7 linked regions of the Canis lupus familiaris genome follow. The protein of the gene in region 3 interacts with the protein of the main gene of each other region in a pairwise test. Links are inferred from orthologs where the notes say so. Each region holds a gene or a part of one and is shown on either strand. Other genes may lie near its edges.

Region 1 (4,568 bases), on a different chromosome or scaffold from region 3:
GGAGGCTAGATTAAACTTAAATCAGTTAAGTATAGTTACAAGTTTAAGGGACATCACAAAAGGGAAACATTTTTTTTTTATTTTAATAGTTATTGGTTTATTTTGTTAGGCGACTTTATTTCAGTCATATAAAATCTCATTCAACTTATTTAAAATTTGAAAAGTGAGATAACTTACAAATATTTAAATAAGTACATAGGTAGAACAGAGCTATGGCAAATATTTTTATACTGGTTACAAATGACTTCAGTTAACGTTTTCTCAATAGCACTATTTACGGAGATAGATTTAAATACATAAAATACACACATATATTTATACTTATGAATATTTTTTCTGAATACCAAAAGAGCCTTGCAATTGTAAAAATTTCTTAACCAGTGAGCTATCACACCACGAAGACAGGGAGGAAGCCCAAATGCATATAACAAGTGAAAGAAACCACTCTAAAAAAGCTACATACCGATGCAAATGACACAACATTCTGAAAAAAAGCAGCCCTAAAAATTTTTTAAAATCAGTGGTTATAGGAGGCAAAAGGAGAAGGAGGAATAAATAGATGGAGCACAAAGGATTTTTAGGATGGAAAAACTATTCTTTACCATTCTATGATGGTAGATACAGGTCACTAAATTCCATAGAATGTGAACCCTAATGTTAACTTGTGAATAATGAGCTGTCAGTGTAGGTTCATCAATTACAAAAATGTACCACTCTCACGGGGAATATCGATTGTGGGGGCAAACGGGACGGCAGGTGTGAGAAACAGAAATTCTCTGTACCTTCATTCAACTTTTCTGTGAACTTAAAACTGCTATTTTAAAAAGTCTTTTTAAAAAAAATTCTCTTCACTATTTGCTTGCATAAAATTAGCTTTTTCTTTTGAAGATAGGTCAAGAATTACACCAGCTAACATTTACGGAGCACTTTACATAGATTTTCTCCTTAATGATGATAAAATAGATACTATTCTTTTTGTCTCACAGCTAAGCACCATGGGGCTAAGAGAATTGATGTAATTAAGGCACATTTACAAAAAATTAAGCATCTGTTTATCTGACCACAAGGATGGTTTATTTGCTAGTACTTTGATGATTTATTTTCATTTTTTTCTATTATTTGGCTTTAAGATGCCTTCAGTTACTTCACTTGTGCACAACTGTCCAGAAAAAAAAAAAAAAAAAAAAGAGACCTCCAAGACTACAAAACCTAGAACGCAACGCGGCGCCAGGCCACCTAGGAACGCAGCAGCTCGCCCCTTGGCATGCTGGGAAAGGAAGTTTTCTGGCCTACCTCTCTGCCCCGACCCCAAGCCTCCGGATCGGAGCTTTGTTCCTTTTGCCCTTCCCCGGAGCCACGGTTCGACCGACCCACCCATCCTCGCAAGTCCTCCCAGTTCCGGAGACTGACCTGGGGATGCGCCCCTGGCGCCCCGGACTCCGTCCCCGCGCCCCTGTCGGGCGAGCCAGCACTACCCACCTCTCCCGCAACTCCGAGACACTGCTCTCCGAGGAGGACGCTCAGCCCGGTTACCACAGAAACGAAGTTGCCGGCGTCACGGCGCGTGCGTGAAGTCAAAGGTCATGCCAGCAACTTCCGCTTCCTGTTTTGGGATCTCGCTTGTTGTCGGAAATCCCTGGGATTCTGTCCAGCCCTCGGGGTCTATTTCTGGGGTCCAGGTTGAGTCGCGGTCTTGTGCTGCAGCCATGGCGGCCTCCACCGCTGCCGGGAAGCAGAGGATTCCCAAAGTGGCGAAGGTAGGAGACCGCGAAGGGCTTTGTGGGAGGAGGCCCCGGAGAGGGGCTTGCCCCAGCCTCCTCGGGGCCCGCGGCGGAAGACTGCCTAGAGCCATCCTACCCCGTGTGGATCGAGTGGAAGGGTTGGCAGGCGGTGGGGCGCAGGCTTTTGTCGCCCCGGAGACGCTCCCTTCCCACGCCGCGTTGGCGCGGCCTTCTTTCTAGGGCGTGTTTTTGCGGAGGGAGGAGTGGGGTCATTCGGCAGGATTTAGGCAGCGCGCTAGGCGCTGGGGAAGGAACTACGACCTAACGCGGGCAATGTGCCGTTTTCACAAATGACACGAGCCAATGTGAAATTGCCACCTTGCCGAATACGAGTGAGGCGGCGTAGGATATGCCGCGGAGTGATGGGGTTTGTATGAGGGGTATGCCGAGTCCGCTTTCCTGAGGAAGTGATGTTTAAGCCGACACCTGGTGGCTGACTAGGAGTTAGGCCCCCTGAGCCTGGAAAGAATGAGAGGGCATGGGTTGTGTAGTGGCATTAATTTAATTAAACAGTAAGTTTGGTATTATATGATAGTTCCATCGGTGACTGATACTCACTGAGTGCTTAATGTGTGACGGGCTTTACCCTGAACCTTTACGGACGCCCTCACTCCAGTCTGTCTCTCCAGCCCAGGTGGCTCTCTTGAGCTTGTCCTTTACATATCCGTTTAAGTCACATAGCACAGCATCTGTGACTGCATATGAGCTGTAGTCATTATTATCAAAGTCATTCCACACATGGCATTAAACAATATTTCTTATAATCCAATTCCATAAAATGTTACAGGGCACCAGTGGTCCAACAGATATACAGTGTGAGCCACATTATGTAATTTTAAGTTTTCCTGTAGCTACATTAAATAGTCAAAACAGGTGACATTAATTTTAACTGTATATTTTCTTTAATCCATTGTATCCAATATATTGCTAATTGAACATGTAATCAACATAGGAAATCTAATCAGGCAGTTTACTGGCTTATTTCACACTATGTCTTCAAAATCTAGTGTATATTTTACCCTTACAGTCCATCTCTATTTGGGCTCACTGCATTAGCTCATGACTACTATGTTGGACAGCACAGCTCTAAGACTTCAAGAAACTTATGGTCTGTCTAATTATGGGAATTTATTGAACTGTCTTTGATTTGAAATGCCATGAAAACAACCAAACACAGTTTGAGGCATTATCATCCACATGGGGCATAATTGAAAAGTTCTGTAAATAGAGAGTGTAACACTAGGAAAGATACAGCACACATCTTCATAAAACACCTCTAGTGAGAATTTACCTGAGCAGCCTCAAGGTTTATTATTATTCTAATCTAAAAGAGAACACTTGCTATTTTTGCTACCTTTTCTCTGAAGACTTACCTATGGCTTTGTAATAAATACCATGCATAAGAAAGAAAACTTTGTTTTCTGTTTAATTTCATAGAGAAATGAAAACCTGTCATATGAAGAGGGCATCTTGTAATAATACAAAGTTCCCATCCTAAAAAAATGTCTTTTTGCTTCCTAAACTTTGTGTGATGAGCATCTACTAAAAATGAGAATATCTTCTATCTTAAAAGGTGAAAAACAAAGCCCCAGCTGAGGTACAGATAACTGCTGAGCAACTCTTAAGAGAAGCTAAAGAAAGAGAACTTGAGCTTCTTCCTCCTCCACCTCAACAGAAGATCACAGATGAAGAAGAATTAAATGATTACAAACTAAGAAAAAGGAAGGTCAGTCAGGGTGATATTTTCAGTCTATTAATAACATTGTTATTACTTTATAGGTCAAAGTTTGCAGAATTCCTCATTGGTTAGAGAGGCTATAAGAATAGGTTAGTGTTTCTAGCCACATGAGTAATGTAACTCCTGGTTACCAAATAATTGCATTTTGCTGAACTTTACAAAATATGCCATGAATTGTCTTTTAAAGTATAAAGAGATTCAGTCCACCAGAGACATAATTTTTGGTGCAGAATCAAAGATGGAAGTTTAACAAGTGGAACATCTGACAGTTGGAAGGGGCTGGTCTTAACCAAGGTCACATTATGTACTCTCTCTGTACATTTTATGGTAAGAATTGAGACCTGGAAAAGAGCTGAGAGAGGACTTGGATTCTTCACCCTAGAATCCTCACTCTAGGGTAATTTTTTTTTTTTTTTTTTCTTTAAAGATTTTATTGGGCAGCCTGGGTGGCTCAGCAGTTTAGCACTGCCTTCAGCCCAGGGCATGATCCTGGAGACCCAGGATTGAGTCCCGCATTGGGCTCCCTGCATGGAGCCTCCTTCTCCCTCTGTCTGTGCCTCTGCCTCCCTCTCTGTCTCTCCCTCTCTCTCTCTCTCTCTCATGAATAAATAAATAAAATCTTTAAAAAAAAAGATTTTATTTATTTGTTTGTTTCAAGAGACAAAGAGCGTGTAAGCAGGGGGAGGGGCAGAGGGAGAGAGAGAATCTTAAGCAGGCTCTAGGCTCAGTGTGGAAACCCACACAGGGCTTGTATTTATGACCCTGAAGTCATGACCTGAGCCAAATTCAAGAGTCTGCTGCTTAACCACCTGAGCCGCTCAGGCACCTGTAGGATAATTTTAAACCACTAAGCCTGTTTTATCTACTTATTAGTGATGTTCAAAGAGTGATGTATGAAATTCTGAGACATTACTGAGAGGACTAGTAGAAATAGTCAAGAACATTTCCATGCTAGGAAAAAGTATAAAGTATATATTTTTTTTTCAGGTTTTTATTTAAAAAGGTATAAAGTATATTAAAGTGTCAGTTAGCTATTAGCAAGAAGAGAA
Region 2 (4,693 bases), on a different chromosome or scaffold from region 3:
AAGGCAGAAGAGCCAGGTAGAGATGCAAAGAAGAACAGAAATTAGGTAAAAAGGAGAATGGGGAGAGAAGGAGGAAAAGGTGAGAATAGTAAGGGGAAAATGAGGAGAAAGTACTGAATTAGTTTATATTTGTCTGCTATGCTACAGTCAAACCCTCAGGACAAAAGTACTTGGATGGCCACGTTCCATCCAGTCCAAGTGCTGGCAATTACCTTGGAGCTGCTGGATTTGCTTGGTGAACACCTCTGCCTGCTGGGCACTGGCCAGCCGTTCATCCTCCAGGAGTCCTGCAGTGAGAGAGGCAGCAGGCATGATCCTGGGATCCGGGGAGCCCAGACCCTCTGGCCCCCTCCCAGGCACTCACCCTGCAGCTCCAGGGAGTCATCCTCATGCTGCCCTGCCAGTTCCCGGGTCTCCTCCAGCTCTGCCACCAGCTGTAGCACCTGAGCCCGCAGCTCTTCCAGCTCTGTCTCTGTGAGGCTCAGACCCCGGTGCTTGCTAACAGACAGGGAGCCCACACTGCCACCTTTCTGCACTTGCTCTTCCTCTTCTTCCACCTCTTCTTCTTCCTCTTCCTCCTCATAGAGAGCTGGGAGTAACACTTCCCCTAGGAGAGAAACCCATCCCACCAGGGGGTCAGAGGCAACTTCTTTTCCAGAGTCCTTCAAGGGCCCTTCTGCTCATTGTCCCAGGGCAGAGATGGTATAATAGTGCCACCTGGTGTCCCCCAAGGAGCCCCCTCGGCAGGACCTGCACTCGGTGATGAGTCCTCAGGTGTAAGGGTCAAGTTTGGAGGTAGCCCATCCCCACCCAGGCCCTTCCTGGACCAGTATTGTACCAGGTGGCCTCTTGCTACTGACTTCGGGCAAACTGAGCAGCTGGGTGCTGGTTAGCTATGTGAGCTTGCACAAGGATACATGCTTCTTGCAGTCCTGGTGGTCTCTGCATAGTGGGACAAGTACTCAAGAAAGGATTCAGATGCTGGCCGTGTCTTTAGGCCAAATGGGACAAGAGTTAAAGTCTGGGGTTTGTCCAAAGTTAAAAAATTATCCAGGTGGCTTGGAAGAAATTAGCTTTTCCAGAATAAGAAAGGGTTGCCTATCGGTAGTTAGAAAAAGAAAACATCTGAATGAAGTGATTTTAAATGTTTTACTGGACCAATACTGAGGCCCTTTCAAATGTATTCTATCACATGGCTGTTCTGAAATTTTCTGCAGAGTCCACTTCCTTTTCTCTGCTGTTAGGAGGCCTCTCCCTTCCTCAAGTGTTATGAGTTCCCTCCTCCTAACTTCCCTCCCCAAACCTGAAGGAAACTTCAGGTTTCAGTTCCAAGGCTGTACTTGTGTGTAAAAAAAAGCCTACCATTTTAATGCATCAGGAAACTGGGGTGCACTGGTCCCCAGCCTCTGGTTGGTGAGTACCCCCTCCTTTGCTGCAATGCAGTTCCTTGAAATAGCGACATTTTGTCAGGATACTGATTATTTGCTTTGTTTTACAATTCTGAATCCCTGGTCTCATGACAGCAGCCTAAGGTCCATCTGGGACCCCTTGTGTCATCTGTCCCCCTTAAAGGAGCAGGGTTGCCCACACAGTGTGCGTGGAGACCTGGGAACACTTCACAGGGAGTCCTGGGAAACGGATCAGCATCCTTCCAGGAGTCTGGTGTTGGCAGCAACTGTCAAGTAACATGGGTGCGGTGGGGATACATGAGTGTTGGGAGGTTGGCCTTCTCACCTGCCCCCTCCCAGGCAATTCTTTCAGGCTGTAAGGGATCCTAAGAGAACCAAAGCCACAAAGGCTTACATTCAAAGTTAGTGGTGGTGGCACCAGAAGGACAATGCTCACTTCACATGCTCACTTCCCTGCTTTTCAAAAATATGAGACAGCTTGGGATCTGGGTCGGGTGGCAGTGAGAACAAACCCCCTGCTGAAAGGCCTGCTTCAAAGCTCTGTCCAACGAGGCCTCTTTCTCTGTCTGGCAGCTCCCCCCGGGACACACAACCTGGTTAGCTGGTGATTAGGGCCCCAAAGGGAGGCACCCAGAACCTCCCTCAAAGCCTGAGCCCTGAGGAGGGGTAGATTTCAGACCTGAAGGGTAGAGGGGGCTCAGGTGAGCTACAGGAAGGGCTCTGTCCTGGCTGGGAGCTCTGGGGACCAGATGGGGTAAGGAGGAAGGAAGGGAAGTTGGCTGAGGGGAGAGAAAGAAAGCTCTTTGGGAAAACTCACCCTCCATAGCTTGCATCCCCCGCCGCTCCAGGGACCCCCAGCGTTGGCCTTTCTTCCTCTCACAACCCTCAGATGCTTCATAGGAGCCTAAAGTGGTCACTGTGGGTCCTGTGGGTAGGAAGAGAGGAGGCACGGTGGGCTACTAAGGGGGCTGGGGGCTGGGGTGCACAGGAGGGAGAGGGGGACGTGCCTTCTAGCCCTCTGGAGCCCCAGAGTTTTTAATCCAGGTGGAAGTGCTCGGCTCACGCGGCCCCGGCTGCGACTTTCCTCCCTCAGCCGCCCCTCGAGCTGGGCCTGCGGGGATCCCGCCCTGCGCTGCCCAACCTCCCCGGCATCCCCAGTTCCAGGCTCCTCTCCCAGCACAGTCTCTTTAGCTGTGAAGGGAGACGGGCGAGAGCCAGGGCAGAGAGGCTGAGAGGGTGAGGTGGTGCAAGGAGGGGAAGGAGGGGATGCGGGGCGGGGGGATGCGTGGGGCAAGGGGTTCCGGGCCGGGGCCGCTCCCCTCCGCTCCGTTCTCTGCCTGGACCCATCCACCCCATCCTCGCCCTGCGCTCCGAGCCTTCGGCCGGAGGGGGCGCAGGGTCTGGGGCCCAGGGCCGGACCGACGGGGTGGAGGGGTGCAGGGCGAGAGACCGCCAGGGGATGATGCGACCGGTGTGGGGAAGACCCAGCCCGGAAAGATGGAGACCGGGCCCGGGGTGAGGGGCAGGATGAGGGAGGAAGACAGGACGGAAAGGTGGGAGCGGCGGAGGGAGAGGGGGGAGAGCGAGGACGTGGGGGTCTGGAGGGAGGAGAGATGGAGAAGAGGAAGGAGTGGCGGCGGAGAGGTGAGGGAGGGGCGGCTCTGACCTGGGCCGGGGCAGCTCCAGCCCGCGGCGCCCGCGCCCGCCCCGGCGCCCGCCTCCATGGCCGCTCGCGCCGCCGCTGCCGTCGCCGCCCGGAGGAGACGCCGCAGCCGCCAGGCCGGGGACCCGGAGCCGGTGCGCAGGGGAGGGAGGGCGGGCCGAGGGGGCGGGGCCTGGCCGGGCCACCTGACGCCACCCCCGCCCGGAAGCCCTCGCTCCACCGCCCTCCGGGACCCGGGCGGCGAGCGGGCGCGGGGGGCGACGGAGCCCGGCCCCAGACTCACCCCAGGGCCGGGGGCCGGGGGCGGGGGCGGGGGCGGGGGCGCCCTCGGAGCGTGAGGCCGTCCCGGAGTGGCCGCGAGGTCGCCTGGTTCCGGCGAAGGGTCCCGCCCGGGCCGGCTGCGCGCGGAGACCCCTCGGGGCCAAGTGTCAGACGAGCCCCGTCCCGCGCGGGGATGGGGCAGGAAGAGCACAAAGCTGGACGCATCCTCCGCTGCTGTTTCCTCCAAACGCGCGGACACACGCCCGCCAAGCGGGGCCCGCGTCCCCCACCTCCGCAGGCAGCGCGGACCCCGGCCGCAGCCCCCACCCCCGCGCGGTGGCCTCTTGCGTCCCGGGACTGACCGCGTCAAGGCAGGAGAAGGGAAGCCAAGGCCGAGATCTGTGACCCGCAGGGCCCTGACCCCCCTGCTTTCCCCGCGCCCCAACCAAGCCAGAGCCCGAACCCCCTCGGGAGGGCGGTGCCTTGGCCCCTCGCAGCCCTCACTGCCTGAAGACCTCTTCCCTCCACCACTCTGCCTTCCCCCCTGGCCCCACACCCAAGGAGCTGCGATGCACGACTTCCACCCACCCTGCCTCTGGAGCCTGTTCCGAGTGGGCACTGCTGATTTTCACTCTCATACAAGGGAGACGTGGAAACCCAGAGGGCTTGTTTCACGTAATCGTTCATTCAGGGCACATCTACCTGGTGCGGGATCAGAGGAGGCAATCGTTCTCAGGTCTCTACAGGTCTCACCCAGGAAAGAAGTGGATACACTTGGGAACCAGGCAGTCCCAATGCATCGAGGAAAGTGTTAGGAGATTCCTGAGCCAGGGACACACACCAATCCCTTTTCTTGGCTATCCACTCACCAGGTTATGGACGTGCATTGTCTGTGTTCACAAGCCCTCTGTATTCTTCAGGAAAGAAGCCTTCCTTTGCCTAGACATACCTACTTATTCTACAACCCTCAGTCAGGAGTCACCTCTAGGCAGCCTCTCCTGATGCCCACCCCTAGACCAGTAGAGGCCTGCTGTGCTCCACACTGTCCTCTTTACTCCTGGGGTAGCACCTGTCACTTTGTCAAGGTCAGGTTTTTACTTTTGTGTCTGCCCAACTTCTGGAAGATTGGGAAGTACTTTAGTCATTTGTGTATGTCTAGCATCTGACAAAGTATCTGACACAATAAATGAGAAAGGTAAATCTTTCAACTACACAATTAATACTCTGTCTTATCATTTAACACATGATTTCACATGGAGTGAAATGTTGCCTATTAAATATAATGTTGTTCTGTAAGTCTCTTCTCTCCCTCCCTCCCCTCCACCTCCTTTTTTTCCCTCCCTCTCAAACCCCCCAGCCT
Region 3 (4,008 bases):
AGGTAGAAAAGTGTAGGAAGGTCATTCTAGGCAGAGAGAACTGTAACCAAAGGCCTGAGGCACAGCTTTCCCTAGTGTCTTCAGGAACAGGAAGCAGCACCAGATGGCTGAGCCAGCAGGAGTAAGGCATTGGGGCAGGCTGGAGCAGGTTGGGAAAGGTCTCAATTATCAGGATAAGGAACTTGGATACCATCCCGAGAAGAGCAATGAGCCACCAAAGGTTTCAAGCCAAGGAATAACACTATCCCACCAGTGTTCCGGAAGATAACTCTGCTGGCCATCCGGAGAATGAACTGGAAAAGAGACACTGAGAAAGGCAAATATGTCAAGAATCTCTTACAAAACCCACGTTAAAAATAACAAGGACTTGAACCAGGGCAGAGGCTGCGGCTGTGAGAGGGAGGTTAGCTGCAGGACTATGAGGATGAGAGAGGTGTTGAAGATGCTTGCAATTTCTCTAAAAAACTGAACGGATGCTCTTAATTAAAATCAACAAATATATGTACCAAGACTAGGGCCCTTTAGAACAGGTTTGCTGGGGAAGACAATGACATCAATTTTGAACACATCTAACTAGAGGGTTCTGTGCATCACCTGGGAACAGAGCCCTGTCTGCATATCCAGCCTGGCTTCACAATCTCCTTGAGATATAAATCATATGGCTGGGGTCCCCAAGGGCTGGCACAGGGCAAACAGGGACAGGGCCAGGAACATCAGGCCACACATAAAGATTTGAAAGTAAATGAGATGCAATTGCTGGAATGAACATGACCTTCACATTTTCAGGTATTTCCACCAAATGCCTGATGAGTAGCTGTTCTACTTCCTTGTGGATGTGTACAAATGTCAGCACACATACACACACATCATATGCACACAGAAGGAAAATGCAGTCACATAGCCCAATGGGTCAGCCACAAAGCATCTCAGGCTGGGTTTCTCTTCGGATTTTTTGGAGGTAGAACAACCCTGCCTATTCACAGTTGTAACCACCTCTCTGATAACAGGGTGCACAACACACTCATGATGCCAGAGTTTGCATGTATACAGCCCCCCCTAGCTTCCAAAAGCCCTTAGCTTCTCACTGCAGCCACAGAAAATCCCATGCAAGGTTACCATCTTTAAATAAGGAAACTGAGAGCCTGACCAAAGTAATGACCAGGAGCAAAGTCTCCTGGCTGCGTCAGGCAGGGCCCACTGAGCAGGATGAAATGCAAGGGCTGCAGGAAATGCAAATGAAGCTCAGCCTCACCCCCAATATGGTGCGTCAATCTCCATCTTCACACCACTCAACCACAGGCCAGCCAGCCCCAGCTCCCCTGCCTCTGCCCCCAATTCCCTGTTTCAAAGCAGAGCTGGGCAGAGCTAACCACACATCACGTAGGCCAGGAACTGCAGAGGAACCTGCTGCTCAACACAGAGCAAATCTGAGCATTCAAGTGACAGAGAAGACAAGAACAAGAACAGATTTGTGTGCAAACAGAAAGAGAAGAAACAGAACTACGGCAACATCTTTTTGCCGTCAGTTACAAAAGGAGCTGCTGCAGCTCCCAGAGGGAAGTCGGTGGTCAACCCCAGAACTACTCATTTCCTGCCTTCTGCCCAAAGCTGGCCTGAGCTCGTGACACTCGCGGGCCCCCAGAGGCTGGGAGACACCAACCTCCAGCTGCCTCCGGTCGCTCAGCAGGCAGTCCAGCAGCACAGGCTCGCACCTCCTGAGCAGCGTCTCCCAAAGGTGAGCCTCCCCCAGGCTGCTGCCCTCAGACCGCCAGGGGCCTGGGGAGCAGGAGGAGGCAGTGTCCGTGTCCAACAAAGAAAGCATGTCACACTCCGGCCTGTGGCTGCCCCCTGTGGTCTGGGCAGAGTCCGCCAGGCTGGGAATAGTCTTGAGAGTGAAGTGGGGAGAGAAGAGTCGAGGATGTTCGTGGGGCCTGTCCATGCTGGCAGCCTTCACTTCCGCCTCCTTGGGGCTCTGACAAGGGGTCTCAGCCTCTCTGGATGGCAGGCAGCCTTCAGCTTCTCCACGTTCCCCAGCAGAGCCAAGTGAGAGCCGTATGAAGCTAAAGCTTGACGTAAAGGCATCCTGAGAGCCAGCAGGGGTTGGGGGGGCCTTGGGGACACTTCCAAGGCTGTAGCTGCTGCCACTTGCCTCCTCTGGAGACAGACAGCCTTTTGTCCAGGTACCGCCTCCAGCAGCATCCCGGCCAGGACCTGGAGCCTCAGAACTGTCCATGGATGGGAGCTCCCCCTGCCACCCAGTGTCCCCAGGGCCACACGACCTGGCTGGCCTGGCAGGTGGCTTGGTGCCAGCTCTGAGCTGAATCCCAAAGAGCCCCGAGGGCCTTCTCACAGGGGTCAGAGCCAGGCCTAGGTAGCCCCCAGAGGTCGGAGCCGAGGCTGCTGTGCTCCTAGGAACAGGGCTCCCAACCGAGGGGCCTCGCCACTGGCCTCCAGAATCAAGGCCACACCGTCCGGCCCTGGACTCAGACTGGTGGGACTCCTCACCGCACGCCCCTCCCTGGGCCTGGAACGGAGCGGCCACTGCTGGGTAGAGGAACCCGATCCGGGGCCCAGCTGCACTTCTCATGTAGCCCGGCCTCCGTGCCAGCCGCCTCCTCCGAAAAGACGCTGCAGGTGGTATGCAATCCTGGCTGCCTAGGAGGAAAAGAGAAAACAGCACCATCAACACGCAAAGCTCACTGGCTCAGCTGGAACTGCATTTGGAGAGCATCTTAGGTTTAGAGGTCGCCGCTCTGTGTATCTGTCAAAGGGAGATGCTGGCTCAGTGGTCACGGGGCCAACCCGGGACGAAGATTCTGACGATCTTCTCCAAGTGTTTGCCTGGAATGCACAGAAGAAACACAGCGTCTCCGCTCTTCTGTTTAGCAGAGCAGCTGGCGTTGCTGTGAGTTATGCCAGCATGTCAACATGCCCACTGGAGTTACAACCTCGCCGGCTCCTTCTGAACCCTCTGGCATCTTGCCTATTGGGCTCTTAGGCACCGCAGCACTTTTATCCCAGAGTGGGCCTGAAAGCAAACAATTGGGAGGCAAATGCCAGCACACTCCTCAAAACAAGATCCGATCGCTTATTCTAGCTCCTTATTGAACAATATGTGAGTTTTCATTATCTGAGCTCTCCGTGTCCCAGCACGTCTCTGGACCATGGAGAGCCAGCTGGGGCACAATTTATGGCCATCAGTTCATCTCTCACAGTGGACCACGGGAGGCCCTGCTTGATGTGCTCAACAAACCAGGGACTATGTCCCCCTCGAGCTCTGCAAAAGGAATAGAAACAATAAAAAATGCTGATAGCTCTCAGGCAGGATTGTATAGCAGTTGAGAGCAGACTCTGGCACCTCATTGCCTGGCTTAAGCCCTGGCTGTGCCATTGCTGCCTGTTCACCTCCACAAATTACTTAACCTCTCTGTGCCTCAGCTTGCTTCTCAGTAAAATGGAGACATTACCAGTACCTCTCTCGCAGGGTGAGACTTAACTAAATGAGTCACTAGAGGTAGACAGCCTACAACAGGGCCTAGCACACATAAGTGTGCTGAAGATGTTAGTTATTATTTCTCTATTGCACAGCACATTGGTACTCAGAATATGGGCATCATCTACATTAATTTCATTTGCTCCCTACCAAAGTTATGCGAATCAACCAGACTAGGAAGTATAACTTCCTTAAAGGAACTTCCTGTTCCTTCTACAGTTAAGGAAACTGAGGCTCAGAGAAATTGGCATTCAGAAACCCCTGCAAGTGACTGAGTGACCAGCATCACAGTCTCCTGACTCTCCTGACCCACATAGTGTTCTCACCATGGAGCCCCGCCACACCATGAATCAGATGAGATGGAAAGCATACAAGTAAGACCAGGCAGTGCTGAACGTGGCTGTAGGTATACTACAGCCCATGGTGAGGAGTGGAACAAAGTTTCATGCCAGGCCCACACATCCTACCCTGTCTCCAGAACTTGGACAGCCTCCGGATCTTTGTTATGGTAAGTG
Region 4 (4,008 bases), on a different chromosome or scaffold from region 3:
ATTCAGTATCATAAAGCTGTCAACGTAAAGCATGATAGACAATGGAATACTATATAGCTACATAAACTGATGCTATGAATCTGTATTTCAGTCCAAATCAGATCAGTGCATTAGTTGATTCCTTAATTTTTAATGTATATTTGTCCAAACAAAATCTTACCTTTTTCTTCAAAGTCTAATAACACAAAGATACCTCCTTTATGGCCTTTCCTAACGTCAGGAATGCTACTGGTTGCTTTGTCCTCTTCATTTCCATCTCAAAAGGTTTATCACATTCTTATACTAATTATGTTACTCTGCCTTATTTATTCTTTCTATACTCATCAACCAAACCATGATAAGCTACTTAGGGGCAGACTCACATAATTTCCACAGCTGTCACCACATGAGAGATGTTTTCATGTTTGTTGCAAGCACAAATGGCTACTAAATATTTTTAAGTGTTCTGACTTTATTACTAGTCATAAAAATCTACCAGAAAATAAAGATATTACAACTTAAAAAAATCATATCAGCAGCAATTTAAAACAATGGGACTACACAGTACCAATAAAGACAGAAGAAAAGGAGTGTTCTTATGTACCTCTCCATGAGGACAGAGATCACCAAGGAAAGCAATTTGGCAGTATGACAGAAGAACCTTCTTAAAACAATTCAAACACTTAGGCCTAGTAACTCTGCTTCTAATAAAAATAATGAGAAATAAAGACTTTTAGGTATAGAGAAAGATGATTATTACAGAAATTATCCAGAATAAGGAAATGGCTGAATTACGGCACAATTATGTAGCCAACAAAAAGAAACTCATACAGGAAAAACTTGTGTGGGTTTAAGTTATATTTTCTTCTAATATTCTATGTTTTCCAAAACAAGTATATACTAATTTCATAGTCAGAAAACAAAGGCTGATGAATTAAAGGTAAGAATTGATGGGAAGAAAGAGTCCTTACCTAGGGAGGTCACATTTCCATAATTCTCCAACATCACATCCCAGTACAAGGCCCTCTGAATCGGGCCCAGACACTCCCATTCCTCTGAAGTGAAGCATACAGACACCTCCTCAAACATCACCAACTCCTGAAATAATAGGTATGTGTGAGATTATCTATGTCCAGGAGCTCCCCTAGCAAAAAGTTCCTTTCACATTCCTGGCAAAAGGACACATTATGAGGCCATGAAGTGAGCAAGGGCTATCAAGGAGACCCCACATAAAGTCTACCTTCCAATTGCATGGACTGTGATAGAGACAGGAACTAACTGGGCCCCAAACACTAGGATGACAGAGGATACCTAAGCCACAGTCTGGTAGTACAGGGAGGGCCTTAGGAATGAAAGAGAATGCAAATCTTACCTGGGGCTGGGCTGTTAGGAGCATGAGGGCCATTAACTGATTTCTTGGGTTCTCTTCCTGGGAAAGGGCAGAAGCTTCAGGGGCAGGAGAATCTGAGGAAGGAGAAAAAGCTGCATGTGAAATTACTGCTGTTCCTGACCACTACTCCAAGTATTGTTTCTTCTACAAACAGGGAATTCAGAAAGACCCAGAACTTCCAGAACTAGACAATGGTGGCCATAAAATGACTTACAAACCTTTTTCTGAGTGACCCCCAGGTACAGTACTGGAATAATAGAAGATTAGCAGTAAGAATGGATAAAAGGTCACAGGAATCCAGGAAAGGACAGACAGGGGAACAACAGAAAGAATTTGGTACCATAAGGGTTTCATATACAAGACAGGAAGAGAGGAAGAAACTAACTGTGAGTAGGAGGATGAGCCATAATAAAGACCCTGACAAAGTCCAAAGCCAGGATCGCTAAGTACCATGTTGAGCATCCTGGAGACTGAACACGAGTGAGTCAGTAAAAGGATTTTGGCAAATTTCAGTTGTTATGTGGCTGCCAGTGGGTACATGAAGAACTGCAGTTCCTGAAGTGCTCATCCCCTCCTGAAGAATGTCCCGGTCCTGAACAAGAACTGGAACCTGGGAATAAGCAAAACAAAATAAATAAGCTGACTCTTCTTGTACTTACAGAAAATAGACTCACCTGACAACTATGGACCTCTTTCTGCCCACAATCAAGAACTGTGAGATAAGAGACCCACCTCAAGTATGGAACATCAAAACAGCAATAAAGCTTTGCCTTGACAACAACGGAGCTGGCCCTGTAGCCCATTCATGGCACTGGTGGCCTTTCCCACTGAAACTGAACAAAATGATGGAAACAGAAGCCAGACCTGGGTGTGGGCTAAGGAGGGAAAGGGAAATTACAGTAATAATTAAGAGTATAGATTTTAGCCTCAGACCTGGTTTTAGATCAGACTTGGGTTCAATATACTCTTCTACTTATCTACCCCTTTATTATTCCTTCCTGCTTCAACAGAAGGAATACCAGAGTCTAGACACATGTTTGCTACTAGCTAAATGTCGGACATAAGGCAATCCAGCCTCCATTTATCTATCTCTCAAATAAGGATGGATTAGAGCTTTGTGAGGAACTATATAGCTCTAAAATTCTTCATTTTGAGGATGCCTGGGGGGCTCAGCAGCTGAGCATCTGCTGTCAGCTCAGGTTATGATCCTGGGGTCCTGGGATTGAGTTCCACATCGGGCTTCCTGCAGGAAGCCTGATTCTCCCTCTGCCTGTGTCTCTGCCTCTCTTTCTGAGTATCTCATGAATAAATAAAATCTCTTATAAATAAAATTCATTTTTATGATTAAAATAAACAAGCTCATCCTTGGTGCCTCTCCTAAGTTTGTTTCAGACTTCTTACATATAACGTTTCTAGTGGACTACAAACTGACAGAAAGAGATCTCATACACACACTGAGAAATATATTAAGATCCCAATTTAATGGTCAAGGATATAAAATCTTTCTAAAATTAAGTATCTCAACCCAATCCCTTGGCCCTAGGGCACACATGGGGAGGTCCTGCCAGATTTAGAGAGCTTTAGTCCTGTTTTCTCACTGCCTTTTATAATCAAGGCTTACCTCGTCACTCCTAACAGACTTATACAAATAATACATATGCTCCTGTTTAGGGGAACACTTATTTTTTTTTTAGGGGAACACTTAGAAACATTATGTTCTTCAGGTTTTTTTTTTTTTTTTAAAGATTTTATTTTATTATTTATTCATGATAGTCACAGAGAGAGAGAGAGAGAGAGAGAGAGGCAGAGACACAGGCAGAGGGAGAAGCAGGCTCCATGCACCGGGAGCCCGATGTGGGATTCGATCCCGGGTCTCCAGGATCGCGCCCTGGGCCAAAGGCAGGCGCCAAACCGCTGCGCCACCCAGGGATCCCTGTTCTTTAGGTTACTGAACCAAACTCAGCATTAGCAAGCATCACCAGATGAACAAAGTGCAGTCAATGCCTTTTTGCTAATTCTGAATTAGGAACAAGACACCAATCATAAATCCATTTCTCTGCAGATATTCTATGATCTGAAATAGCTCGTGAACCTGCTGTAATAAGCATTAGGGTTGCTAATGTGCTACTAATTATTTATGAAAATTATAGGATCAGCCTCCAGCCCAGCTCACCCTGCCTTAATTCTCTCCTTCCTTCCATCCCAAATCTCTCCCCTCCCCCTTTCTCACTTTTAATGCTGGTCCATCAAGGTCTTTCTGTAGCTCCTCTACCAAAGCCACGGCCTCCTCACAGCTCCCAGGGCGATGGATCTGCACCCAGGTCCGAATCTCCCCAGGAAGGATGCTCAGGAACTGCTCCAGGACCAGCAGCTCCAGGATCTGGGCCTTGGTACGTGCTTCTGGCCTCAGCCAACGACGACAGAGCTCCCGGAGCCGGCTCAGTGCTTCCTGGGGTCCAGATGTCTCATGATAACGTAACTGTCTAAAGTGCAGGTGGGAGGTCTCCCAAACAGAGGAGCTGCTTCCTTGGAAGCTGGTTCCCCATTTCCAGGTATCATCCTTCCCTTTAACAAGACCCTCTTGTCTCAGAGCACTGTGGGCCCAATTTTCTCTTGTCATTGCTGTCATTTAAGAAAGA
Region 5 (4,008 bases), on a different chromosome or scaffold from region 3:
TTTTTATTTTTTATTTTTCTGATGCAAACACACGAGGGTTTATTAGCAAGCTCGAGCTTAGGTCCAAGTATGCCCGACACAGCGGAGCAGGGACTTGGGACCCATTTGGCAGGTTTATAAAAGTGCCAGAAGTGGTGGTTTTTATAACAGGATAGGATTAAAATATTAAGGAAGAGTTTAATGCTCTTTTAAAATTGCAGAAAGGTTGGGCAGATGATTGTAGCTTTGATGTGTAGTTGAGAAGACTTGATTTGGTGATGGTCTGATGGGCTTATTTTTATTTTGAAGATATTATTATACCTGGTAGTAAATTAGCTTTGTTTATCTAAAGAACTATTGTACATTTCTGTAATTTGAATAGATATTTTTAATATTCTGTATCTCTCTTATTTTTAAATGGTCTTCTTTAAACATTTAATTTATAGACTAAAAAATTCAACAGTATGTATCTTTCCCTTACCATTATTAATAAATGTTCCACTTTTTAGTGCCAACACATTGGAAAACTATTTTTATTCTTATACTTCTTAAATGACTTTTTTTTTTTTTTTCTCTGTTTTCTTTAAGCCATAAGGATGAGTTTACCATTATTCCTGTACTGGTTGGAGCTCTGAGTGAGTCAAAAGAACAGGAATTCGGAAAACTCTTCAGTAAATATCTAGCGGATCCTAGTAATCTCTTTGTGGTTTCTTCTGATTTCTGCCATTGGGGTAAGTTCTAGATTTTAACATATCATGATAGATACTATATACTTGTGGTTAATGGTATCTTTTCACTCTAAGCTCTGATTTTCAGTTCTTTACCATTTTCCTTGGAAAGTTTTAGCTGCAATGTTTAAAAGTGAATAAAAAAGTCTTTTAAAAAGGATCAGATTATTATAGTAGATTATGGATACATTTCCAAAGGCGACTGGTATAATTGGATTCACACTGTGAGGGCATCCTTGCTTTAGCTACTTACATTAGTGGGAGTTAAGATCTTTTAACCCCTATTTCCAGGTTGAGTTGTGTGGTAGATTCTCGGAAGTTAGTTTTTGGTAGATAAAACCAATGTTCTTCTTTAGAAGGTAGAAGAGCACTGTGTGCTATGCCAGTCCTTTTCCACATTTCTTTTTCTGTAATTAGTGTTTTTTCTTTCTATTTTTCCTTTGGTGCTTAATTTTTGCCATCAGTTTAGAGGTACCCTCCAAAGAGTGTAATATGTTGGCTGTTAGCATTGTGGTTTTCACTGGTAATGGCTAATACGAGTAAGAACTCTTATGTGATTTTTGTTATTATTGTGAATAAAAAAAGTAAGGAGACTTCACAGTGAATAAATCATAAAAAGACATTTGTGGATGCCTCTTTCAGTAAGTTTTATTTTTTGAATCTTTGAATACAGTTTGCTATCCTTTATCCATTGCTGTTCTGGATAGAGTATTTCTGATTCCTATTCCTTTTAGGACCTCTCTCATTGGCCTGAGGATGCCAGTTATCTGTTCATCCTTTAGTTATTTCTTTTATTATTGAGAAAACATAAGGCACAAGTCTGTACATTTTAAGATAGAGTACTTGAATTGCCAGAAAAACATCCTCTGTGAGATACAGGGAGCCCTGGCTTTTATATGTCTTAAGCATTGATTATCAAATCTGGCTCACTATTTTTCTGGCCTCATTAGGCTGGTATTTTCTCTTACCTTGCTCTCTGAGTGGCTTTGAAATCATTTTTAAGAGAGCCATCCTCCCTTATAGATACGTATTTTGGTTTAAGGCACTAATTTCTCATCTGGGGCTGATTGTCTTATGAGGGGGCATTTGGAAATGCCTGGAGACATTTTTGGTCATTACCTTGGGATGGGGGTGGGAAGCGGGGAGGCTTTAGGCATCAATTTAGTGGAGTACAGAAAAGCTGCCAAATAAACATCCTTCAGTACACAGAACAGCCTTCCTCATCAAAGAATTATCCTGCCCAAAACACGTAGTGCTAAGGTTGGGAAGTCCTGGTTTAGGCTGTGCTACCTTACCTAAGAGACTCTCAAGTTTCTTTATAATAATCAGTTCTATTGGCTAGTTGGTTTGCTACCTTTGGCAGAAGTTATTTTTTATGGATTTTAAGTATATTACTTAGATCTGAGGACTAGATAGATGCTTGGAAATTCTGATGTTTAGTCGTAGTTGATCTTAAAAACTAAGGAGTATCATTATTGAAAAAAGGATATTTTTCTTAGTGTTGTGAATTTGTGTTGATAATAAAGCATGTCCACATGTCTTAGAAATTAAAAATTCTTGAAGTGTGTGTCCCCTCCCTCTTCACTTTTAAGGCTCCCATGAATCACTTTAAATTACTTTTATGATCTAGAGAATTAGTTCCCCTGATATTGTTCTTTAGAATCTGGTTGGTATCATGTGCAATCACAGTATAAATCCACACAAAAATCAGTAGATGCTTTTCTCTTAAATCATTCTTTTTACCTCATTAATGAATTCTAAAGCAAACAAGCTCTAGTCCACTACTGTATTTAAGTATAATATTGAGAGAGAAAGATGAGTTTTTATATTCTACCTAGATTCTTAGAAAATTATTTAGGCCATTTGATCTCCAGTGTTCTAGAAAATTCTGGTGTTTAAATTTGTAAGCTAGGATTTCCTGGTGATAACTACAGATGATAACTCAAAATTTCCAAAGGTTGGTAGATGTTAGTTATGAGAATTATCCAGAGATTAAACATATTTATATTTACATTTGGTCGTTAAGTAATAGAACTTTTCCAAGTGCTTATATTTTTTAGTATCACTAACAATACTCATAAAGTGCTTAGTTTGTACTTTGGAAAGCACTGTACTAATTCTTATTAGGAAATTTGATAAAGATCTGGGGATAAGTGGAAGGTACTTATAGATACTATTAGATACTATTCCAAGATTGGTAGTTCCCCTTCTACAATAGTAACTGTCATTCTTGTAAAGTAAGATTCATTTTCTATTTTATATGCCTAGTTGAATTAATACGAATCTTCGGCTAGTTATGGGTTAAAATGTCTTAGAAATTTTCATATTTCTCAAATTACGTGCTCTGGTGGCTTTGGTCATCTTTTCTAAATTAATGAATGATATACATCCATTTCAAAAATCTAGCTTTTTCTTGTGAGGATATTTCTTAATGGTTTTTTTCTTCTTCTTCTTCTGTTTTTTTGTTTGTTTTTGTGGGTTTTTTTTTTTTTTTGTTTGTTTTGTTTTGTTTTTTGGTAAAGATACTGTATAGATTGATTTTACCATATCAAAGTAATGTTAACCCTGAATTCTAAATAATTTCACAGGAAGGATTTAGTTCCTTAAATACTCAGAGATCTTAAAAGTTCCATTGAGTTATACTGTCAAACACACTATTACATTTGTAATAGCTAATTTTTGAAGAAAAATTGCTTAATTGATTATGGTACAGTTGACAAATTACTCAGATACATATAGAGGAATTTTGTTTTTGTTGAATAGAGTACTGGCAGTGACAGCATTTTTCATTTCTAGTCATTGTTTCTATTATGTACAGCTTCTGTTTAAAATAAACCAAGAGATTTGGTGATAGAGACAGTTGGGAGACCTATTATGTGATTGGAAAGGTTTTGCCTGGTTGATTTTACTTGTTAGCCAATGTCTGTTACAAGAGTGACTTTTTTTGTGTGTATGCTTTGCTTTAAAGATGTTCATCTTTCAGATCCCATTTAAATTTTGTGTGGACTTGAAAAAGACATTAGAGAAAAAGTAGAAAGACTAAAACATTCTCAAATTTTCTTTTTGGGTGGGAAAAGCCAAGGGAGAGTGGAGACCTAGATTCTATTATGCTCTTTCTGTCCCTTATTTGAATCCCCTACTCCCCCCAGAAAAAAACCTTCACCATTTCAATTTCTGCCTTTTATTCTATCCTTAGTCTAATCCACATGAAAATTCATTAGTCAGCCCAAAAGGGTGATGTTTCCTAGTAACAGTTCATGATCCTACCTCATTTCACCCTTCCCACTACTACCAGGGATTG
Region 6 (3,877 bases), on a different chromosome or scaffold from region 3:
TGCATGGAGCCTGCTTCTCTGCCTAGGTCTCAGCCTCTCTCTCATGAATAAATATCTTAAAAAGAAAAAAAAAAAAGCAGGGCCCTCACACTGCAACCTCAACCATTCTGAACACATATGCAAACGGTTTCCTAATAATAGCACATTTTTCTGACAAACACATCAAGGAAGCGTGGACTATGCAGTCTACTTGTCCTGCTCTGTACTGGAAAACGCAGGCCTCCAGCCATCTGAGCCCAGAGCCAGGCCTCACCTTGATGGGAATGCACGCATGGTCCTCCTCCAGGTCCTTCAGACAGATCTCCAGGTGCAGCTCCCCAGCCCCCGCGATGATGTGCTCCCCGGACTCCTCAATGATGCACTGCAATGGGCCAGGAGTTAGGCTCTGGGCACGGACCCCAAGACACTCAGAGACCCCAATAAATTCTAGGAACAGGTATAAAGCTCCAGGTTTCCCTCCAGATAGAGAAGACCAGACCCACCAGAAATGGGTTTTGTGGCAACTCAGGGCTCGTAAAAGGCAGCAAGAGCTGTGTTTTTGCTATTCTCGTTAACCTCACAATCTGCTCCACAGCCAAACCATAAAAATAGAACTGGTATACAAAGAATTAACTAGATTTCTCAGAAAAAAGCCACCACCTTGTCACACAGTAGCTCTGCCAGGGAAAGTGTATGCTCAGCACACACCAGACTTTCCAAGATTTGAATATCCGTAAATCTGTGACAAGCCCTATGTAAGCCACAAATTAACCACTTGCACCGCGGTGTTCCCATCTGCCAGGGCACCCACCTACCTGCACCATGGGGTCCGACTTGGCCAGCCGTTTCAGACCCTCCACTAGCTTGGGAAGGTCAGCTGGATTCTTTGCCTCCACAGCAACCCGGACAACGGGGCTCACGCTGAACTTCATCACCCTCATGTTGTGGGCATGCTCAAAGGTGGTGATGGTGCCAGTCTTCACCAGGAACTGGTCCACTCCCACTAGACCCACAATGTTCCCACAAGGCACATCTTCAATAGGCTCAACATAACGGCCCATCATCAGGATTGTTCTAGGGAAGACAAAAAAAACCCTCCAGATCCCGAAATGACCCCAAAACACCCCTTCCTTCTAAAGCCTGTGGCCATCCCATCCACCTGAAATGCTGATGTGAACCCAACTCCCAGAGCCTCAGGCCCTAGCCCTAGTTTCACCTTATCAGCCCAGTTCCTGTGACAATAAGTCCCAGCTCTCTTACCCCAAAGCAGAAGCCACCTGCTCCTCCCCGACTCCCCTATGTAGGGCTCCACACCCAACCTAGCACTGATAGGACTGTCACGGGAACCTGAGAACCAATGAAAATCAGGGCTGCAAGAAGCTGGAGAGATGGAAGTTCACTCTTCCCACTACCCACACCAGGAGCCAGGGAATGGTGACTACCACTAGCCTCTCGAGACGGCTCTGCAGATGCGTGCCACCACCCTGACCTTAGGGCCAGGTCTGTCCAAGTCAGAACTAGCGCAGTGCGCCTCACCCAGACAAATCACTCCCTCCCTCAGCTTCAAGGGTCCTCCACCCTTCTCTGGACCACATTATGTCTTGTCACCCTCCCTGTGGAAAGAGATAATCTTGGATATGGACCAGACTGGGACGTACCCAGGAGCTGCTGGGCACCTCACCTCTGGATGGGCTTCAGGTACAGGTCCTCCTTCTTCCCAGGGGTGTAGTTGGGCCCCATGATCCTGACTTTCAGGCCAGTGGACACCAGCCCCGAGAATACACGACCAAAGGCGTAGAACCGACCTTTGTCGGAGGTTGGCACCATTTTAGAAATGTACATCATGAGAGGGCCTTTGGGGTCACAGCTTTTAATGCCTGTGAAGAGGAATTCCCAAAACAAAACATGTGATTCCCTCAGAGCTCACCCTCACAGAACCCTGTGACCTGGACTTGCCAATGAGCATCACCACCTGACCACAGCCACAAAAATACTTAGGCCTCTGCCCAACAATCTAACCCCAGGACGCAGGTGATCCTCACATACCCATGGCTGCCTCGTCGTCTGGGGGGCCCTCATACAAGAGCTCACAGCGGTATTTCTGGGCTGTCACAGGGGAAGGCAGATGGATGGTGATCATCTGCAGCAAAGCATCCCCGGCAGGTAGCCAGCGGCGCATCACAGCCTACAGGAGAAGACAGGGAGGTCAAGCAAGGCCCAAAGCCCTCAGAATGCCATGCCCAAGGTCCTGGTGAGAGGCACTTAGATTCTGAGCTGCCCCTCCTGGGGAGGTGCCAACAACACAGATCCCCTGACCACCCTGTTGGTGATGGGGACATGACTGGAAGATATGACAAAGAGCTCCAGTCAGTGCAAAGCTGGTAGGCCCACCCCAAGAGGCACATCCGCATTCACCTTCAGAAGTGGTTTGCCTTCCTTATCTTTGTCTTCACTGTCCAGCTTGATGTCCAGCTTTTCAATCAGCTTTGCGGTCTCCTCTTTCTTGAAATTCATGATCGCATCAAACACCTGACAAGTCACAAAAACAGGAAGATGGGGGATCCCTGGGTGGCGCAGCGGTTTGGTGCCTGCCTTTGGCCCAGGGCGCGATCCTGGAGACCCGGGATCGAATCCCACATCGGGCTCCCGGTGCATGGAGCCTGCTTCTCCCTCTGCCTGTGTCTCTGCCTCTCTCTCTCTCTCTCTCTCTCTGTGACTATCATAAATAAATAAAAATTTAAAAAAAAAAAAAAAAAAAAAAAAAAAAAAAAAAAAAACAGGAAGATGGGTTCAGGAATGTTACTGGAAATGTGCAGCTGCTTCCTACCAGGCAAACCTCACCCTCCTCCAGCACCCACCTGTCAACCCAGCTCTGCCCAGCCAGTTAGGTCAGGTAACAGATCCTCCGGGAGCCACCAGGCCCAAGGACAGCCCAGGGGACGCACATCCATGAAGCACACTCAGCAGCTCACCTTGAAAATAGGGTCCAAGATGAGCTGGCAAAACGTCCGCGGTAGCTTCTTGCCGTCAGGGCTGGTGGCTGACTTGCTGAATTTGCCGTTGGCTGGATCAAAATACCTGGCAGAGGAGTACAGGAGTATTTCACCAACTCAACGATGGTAGATGGGTTGGAGAAACAGGAGACCCAAGTGAGTGAGGAAACCAAGCTGGGCAGAAGGACCCTACAGACGTTTGGTGGCCCTTAGTCATGTTCCCACCACTGCAGGCAGGTCCCTGCCCCGGCACACAGGTACCAGAGTGCCCTGCACCTCCCCCAGTACTCACCGGTCACCCCACAGCTTCTTCATCATGTCCTCCACTTTCTTGGCCCGCTCAGCAGGCCCCAGCTGGCCCTCGCCCTTGGCAGCAAATTTGGCCACATACATCTCTGCAAACTGCTTCAAGGTAAAGGCCCAACCGTGGAGTCCAGACCCAAAGCCAACGGTCCCAAGTACAGGGTCGATCTGTGAGGGTCAGAGAACACTATGAGCGGAAGTAAACAGCTGTACAGAAAGCACAAGAGTCCCTGGGCACCATGGGCCTCAGACGTCAGTTTTCTTCAACAGCCATCAGGTCAAAGTGAAGAAATTTTAGTCATCACTTACAAGGCCCAACTCTACGCCATCCCCTCTGGAGGAGCAAGGAAAAGGTGTGCATAAACTTGGTGAGCACAGACAGCAAGCAGAACCCACTACCCCACAGCTCCCCCCCCCACCCCAAGTGCCAGATGAAATAGCTACAAAAATGATCCAGGCCCCTTGTCACTCTACAGGTCCTGGCAAACCTTTCAGAAGTGCTATCAATAGTCCCCAAGATCAGCACCCTCTCAACCAGAGCCCTTCCAGTGCGAGTTAAGGACTGTGGTTCCCCACCTTGGGAGACGTGTGACATCAGCAAG
Region 7 (3,696 bases), on a different chromosome or scaffold from region 3:
GGCCAAAATCAAGAGTCGGATGCTTAACCAACTGAATCACCAGGCACCAGGAAGCAGCCATAGCTTAATATTTTTTATTGGCTACAATGGACATGGAATTTAGAAAATGCTTACTATTTTTTAAAAATTGAAATATCACTGACAGATAACATTAGTTTTAGGTATATATAATGATTGAATATTTGTATATATTATTCTGAAATGATCACCACAGTAAGTCTAGTTAACATCTGTCACCATACAGAGTTATAAATTTTTTTTTTTTGTGATGAGAACTTTTAAGATATACTCTTAGCAACTTTCAGGCGAGTGATATGGCATTATTAACTATAGTATCATGCCTCTCCATGACTTATTTATAACGAAGTTTGTACATTTTGATCTTCACCCATTTCATCCTCCCCTACCCACTTCCTCATGCAACCATCAACCTCTGTACCTATAAGCAGCAAAAGAATGAAAATTCTGTTCGTATTATGAAAATTTTTCTTTCTACCTTTAGATACCTAAGACACTAGTAACCACTAGTCCTAGTGGGTCAAGTAATTCTCCAGAAACAGTATATTTAATTGAGAAGAAATTCTTAAGAAGTCACATCTACAGAATGGTCTCTAGCAGTCACTCATTATGTTGTACCCAAACACTTAATTCTGATGAACAAGGTAAACCCGTTTCCTTTCACATATATCAAAAGGATACTGGGAAAGGAAGGAAAATATTTTATTGGAAGATGTTTTATTAAAAGCTTTTAAGGTTTATGAATTGAAGCATATGAAAAGAAAATGAATAGATCATATGAAGACACTCAGACCATGTTAAACGTTAAAACAGCACAGTTTGAAAATACTATAAAATTTAATATTTCGAATAAATATATACACATTATGCAACTTTCAATAGGACCCATTATCATTACATGAAAACACTGATATGTGTGTATATCTTCTAGTAAAAGTCAACATTGTTGTTGACTTCTGTAAGGCAAGTCACCTATCACATATTTAAGAAAACATTAAGAAACTCATTACATAATCTTATACAAATGTTTCATATTTGCTAAAGTCTACTACAGTTCATAGGGCACAAATATTGGCCAACTAGTTCTAACTTTTATGTTAGACAAAGTTTGTTTGCTTTTTTAATCATTAAGATAGCTAAGAGAATCAACTTTACACAGATTGCTTTTCCCAGGCATCTGACTTGTAGGAGGAAAAAGAGAAGTTCAGTGAAATTATAAGGAATAACATTGTTACTCTTCTAGAATGAAAAAATAAAAACATCTCAATTGAGGATAATACACTTACAAGTCAAAATGGGCTCTAATACAAGTGTATGTGGAGAGGTTTTGAAGAATAAATTGGATATCCCAAGGGAGGATCAGCTGCTTGTACCGTAAGGTTTCTTAAAAGTAGTGGATGAGCTTGTATACTATATCGTTCCTCATCATCGTTTGTGGCATAAAGCAATTCCCATGAAAGATTGGCCCACTGACCTCTAACAGCTTCAGCATTTAACTTCCCAACTTGGACCAACATTTCTTGAAGAGTAAGTACTCTCCCAGTGTAAACTCCCTTTGAAGTATAAAAGGGGGATAAAGAGATTACATTCAAGCCTTTATATTTTATTTATAAACTCAGAGAAAAATTCCATTGTGGTTAGGCAAATTTAAACAGAAAATAGTGTATTAAAATGTACACACAAGTTACTTGTCTTCATAATCAAGAATCACCTCTATTTGGTAGCTCTCTGAATAAGCTTGAAATGACATTCATTCAATAACCCAAACAGCAAAATCTCAGCACTTCTCTTTCCTTTCCTTCTCTATTCCTTCATCCCATCCGGCTTCAACAGAGATAAGTCAGTCATAAATACTAGTCAGTGGATAATTACACAATAGACTCTTTTTAAAAACAGTGTTATTGAGATATAATTCACATTCTATACCATTTACTCATGTAAAGTGTATAACTCAATATTTTTAGTATACTCAAATATATATAAATATCTCTACAATTTAGAACATTTTCATGACCTCAAAAAAGAAACCCTGTACTCTTTAGCAATTACCCTCCTATCCCTTTATTCTCTCAGTCAGAAGCAACCACTAATGTACTTTCCATCTCTATAGTTTTGCCTTTTCATATGAATGGAATAATAAAAAATGTGGTCTTTTGTGACTGGCTTCTTTACCTTAGCATAATGTTTTCAAGCCTCATTCATGCAGCATATATCAGTATTTCATTTCTTTTTATGGTGGACTAATATTCCATTGTATGGATAAAACACAATTTCTTATGGATTCATAGTTGATGGATACTTGGACTTTTTCCACCTTTTGTCAGTTATGAATAATGCTACTATAAACATTGATGTACAAGTTTCTATGTGGAACTATGCTTTCATTCCTCTTGGGTGTATGTGTACTTAGGAACAGAATTATTGAGTTCTATTATTGAGTCATATGGTAACTCTAAGTTTAATCATTTAAGAAACTGCCAAAATGTAAAATGGTTGTATCATTTTACATTTCTGCCAGCACTATATTAGGGTTCTAATTCTCCATATCCTCACCAATACTTATCTGCTTTTTTAATTCCAGCCATCATAGTATGTCCTATATGAAGTGATATATCATTGTGGTTTTGGTTTGCATTTCTCTTATACCAAATGATGTTCAACATCTTTTCATGGGCGTATTTTTGCCCATTTGTAGATCTCCTTTGAATAGATATCTATAGAGATCCTTTGCTCATATTTTAAATAAAAATGCCCTTTTATTATTGAGTTTTAAGAGTTCTTAGAATATTCTAGTAACAAGTTCCTTCTCAGATATATGCAAATATTTTTCCCTTTCTGTGAGTTGTCTTTTCGCTTTCTTGATTGTATTTTTTTTTTAAGATTTTATTTATTTACTTGACAGAGAGAGAGCACAAGCAGGGGGAGTGGCAGGCAGAGGGAGATGGAGAAGCAGGCTCCTCACCAAACAAGAAGCCTGATGTGGGGCTCATTCCCAGGATCCTGAGATCATGACCTGAGCCAAAGGCAGATGCTTACCCTACTGAGCCACCCAGGTGCCTCTGATTGTATCTTTTAAAGCACAAAGGTTTTTTTTACTCTTGATGAAGTCCTATTTATCTATTTTTGTTTTGTTTTCATGCTTTTGGTGTTGTATCTCAGAATCCACGGCCATATTTGAGATATAAAGATCTACTCCTATGTTCTCTTCTAAGATTTTTATAGTGTTAGCTCTTATATTTAGGTCTTTATTTTGAGTTCATTTTTGAATATAGTATGAAGTAAGGGTCTGCAGTTGGCTGAATACTATATCTTAAAGAAGACATATCCCAGTACTAATGATAGCTGTAAATTTTATTTGGGCTATGTCTTTGCTCATGTAATTAAGAATCTTGAGTTAAGATCATTCTGAATTTAGGTCACCTTAAATCCAGTGGTTGATACCCTTAGAAAGGGATGGGAGAACTGACATGGGGTCTATAGAAAAGGCATCCATGTGAAGACAGAAGCAGTGATTAGAGTTATGCTGACACAAGCCAAGGAATGTGAGAGGTCACCAGCAGCTGGAAGAAGCAAGATTCTTCCCTAATATCTCTGGACAGAGTGTGGCCCTGTTGGCATCTTGATTTCAGGTTTTTGACGTCCAGAATTGTAAGAGAATAAATTTTTGTTGTTTCAAGC

What was found.
Region 1: the proteins of DISC1 (region 3) and CRNKL1 interact in a two-hybrid assay, tested with the Homo sapiens proteins (2 studies listed by IntAct). The link is inferred for Canis lupus familiaris from reciprocal best matches to the Homo sapiens genes DISC1 and CRNKL1.
Region 2: the proteins of DISC1 (region 3) and CCDC136 interact in a two-hybrid assay, tested with the Homo sapiens proteins (2 studies listed by BioGRID and IntAct). The link is inferred for Canis lupus familiaris from reciprocal best matches to the Homo sapiens genes DISC1 and CCDC136.
Region 4: the proteins of DISC1 (region 3) and ZNF197 interact in a two-hybrid assay, tested with the Homo sapiens proteins (2 studies listed by BioGRID and IntAct). The link is inferred for Canis lupus familiaris from reciprocal best matches to the Homo sapiens genes DISC1 and ZNF197.
Region 5: the proteins of DISC1 (region 3) and MEMO1 interact in a two-hybrid assay, tested with the Homo sapiens proteins (2 studies listed by BioGRID and IntAct). The link is inferred for Canis lupus familiaris from reciprocal best matches to the Homo sapiens genes DISC1 and MEMO1.
Region 6: the proteins of DISC1 (region 3) and EEF2 interact in a two-hybrid assay, tested with the Homo sapiens proteins (2 studies listed by BioGRID and IntAct). The link is inferred for Canis lupus familiaris from reciprocal best matches to the Homo sapiens genes DISC1 and EEF2.
Region 7: the proteins of DISC1 (region 3) and PCNX4 interact in a two-hybrid assay, tested with the Homo sapiens proteins (2 studies listed by BioGRID and IntAct). The link is inferred for Canis lupus familiaris from reciprocal best matches to the Homo sapiens genes DISC1 and PCNX4.

What each region holds. Positions count from the first base shown.
Region 1 is NC_049245.1:3,678,215-3,682,782, forward strand, and holds the start of CRNKL1 (crooked neck-like protein 1), read left to right. Parts: upstream 1-1,579; 5' UTR 1,580-1,583; coding exon 1,584-1,757; intron 1,758-3,354; coding exon 3,355-3,507; intron 3,508-4,568. UniProt on the Homo sapiens protein: Involved in pre-mRNA splicing process. As a component of the minor spliceosome, involved in the splicing of U12-type introns in pre-mRNAs.
Region 2 is NC_049235.1:7,706,316-7,711,008, forward strand, and holds the start of CCDC136 (coiled-coil domain-containing protein 136), read right to left. Parts: upstream 3,154-4,693; 5' UTR 3,134-3,153; coding exon 3,076-3,133; intron 2,335-3,075; coding exon 2,227-2,334; intron 608-2,226; coding exon 365-607; intron 288-364; coding exon 213-287; intron 1-212. UniProt on the Homo sapiens protein: May play a role in acrosome formation in spermatogenesis and in fertilization.
Region 3 is NC_049225.1:8,197,610-8,201,617, forward strand, and holds part of DISC1 (disrupted in schizophrenia 1 protein), read right to left. Parts: intron 2,656-4,008; coding exon 1,661-2,655; intron 1-1,660. UniProt on the Homo sapiens protein: Involved in the regulation of multiple aspects of embryonic and adult neurogenesis. Required for neural progenitor proliferation in the ventrical/subventrical zone during embryonic brain development and in the adult dentate gyrus of the hippocampus.
Region 4 is NC_049241.1:87,514-91,521, forward strand, and holds part of ZNF197 (zinc finger protein 197), read right to left. Parts: 5' UTR 3,999-4,008; coding exon 3,600-3,998; intron 1,980-3,599; coding exon 1,820-1,979; intron 1,444-1,819; coding exon 1,352-1,443; intron 1,078-1,351; coding exon 951-1,077; intron 1-950. UniProt on the Homo sapiens protein: May be involved in transcriptional regulation.
Region 5 is NC_049238.1:25,285,961-25,289,968, reverse strand, and holds part of MEMO1 (protein MEMO1), read left to right. Parts: intron 1-567; coding exon 568-710; intron 711-4,008. UniProt on the Homo sapiens protein: May control cell migration by relaying extracellular chemotactic signals to the microtubule cytoskeleton. Mediator of ERBB2 signaling.
Region 6 is NC_049241.1:55,976,732-55,980,608, reverse strand, and holds part of EEF2 (elongation factor 2), read right to left. Parts: intron 3,585-3,877; exon of another isoform or gene 3,520-3,584; intron 3,444-3,519; coding exon 3,265-3,443; intron 3,058-3,264; coding exon 2,952-3,057; intron 2,509-2,951; coding exon 2,395-2,508; intron 2,165-2,394; coding exon 2,026-2,164; intron 1,857-2,025; coding exon 1,661-1,856; intron 1,054-1,660; coding exon 795-1,053; intron 362-794; coding exon 254-361; intron 1-253. UniProt on the Homo sapiens protein: Catalyzes the GTP-dependent ribosomal translocation step during translation elongation.
Region 7 is NC_049229.1:35,527,401-35,531,096, reverse strand, and holds the end of PCNX4 (pecanex-like protein 4), read right to left. Parts: intron 1,572-3,696; coding exon 1,320-1,571; 3' UTR 705-1,319; downstream 1-704.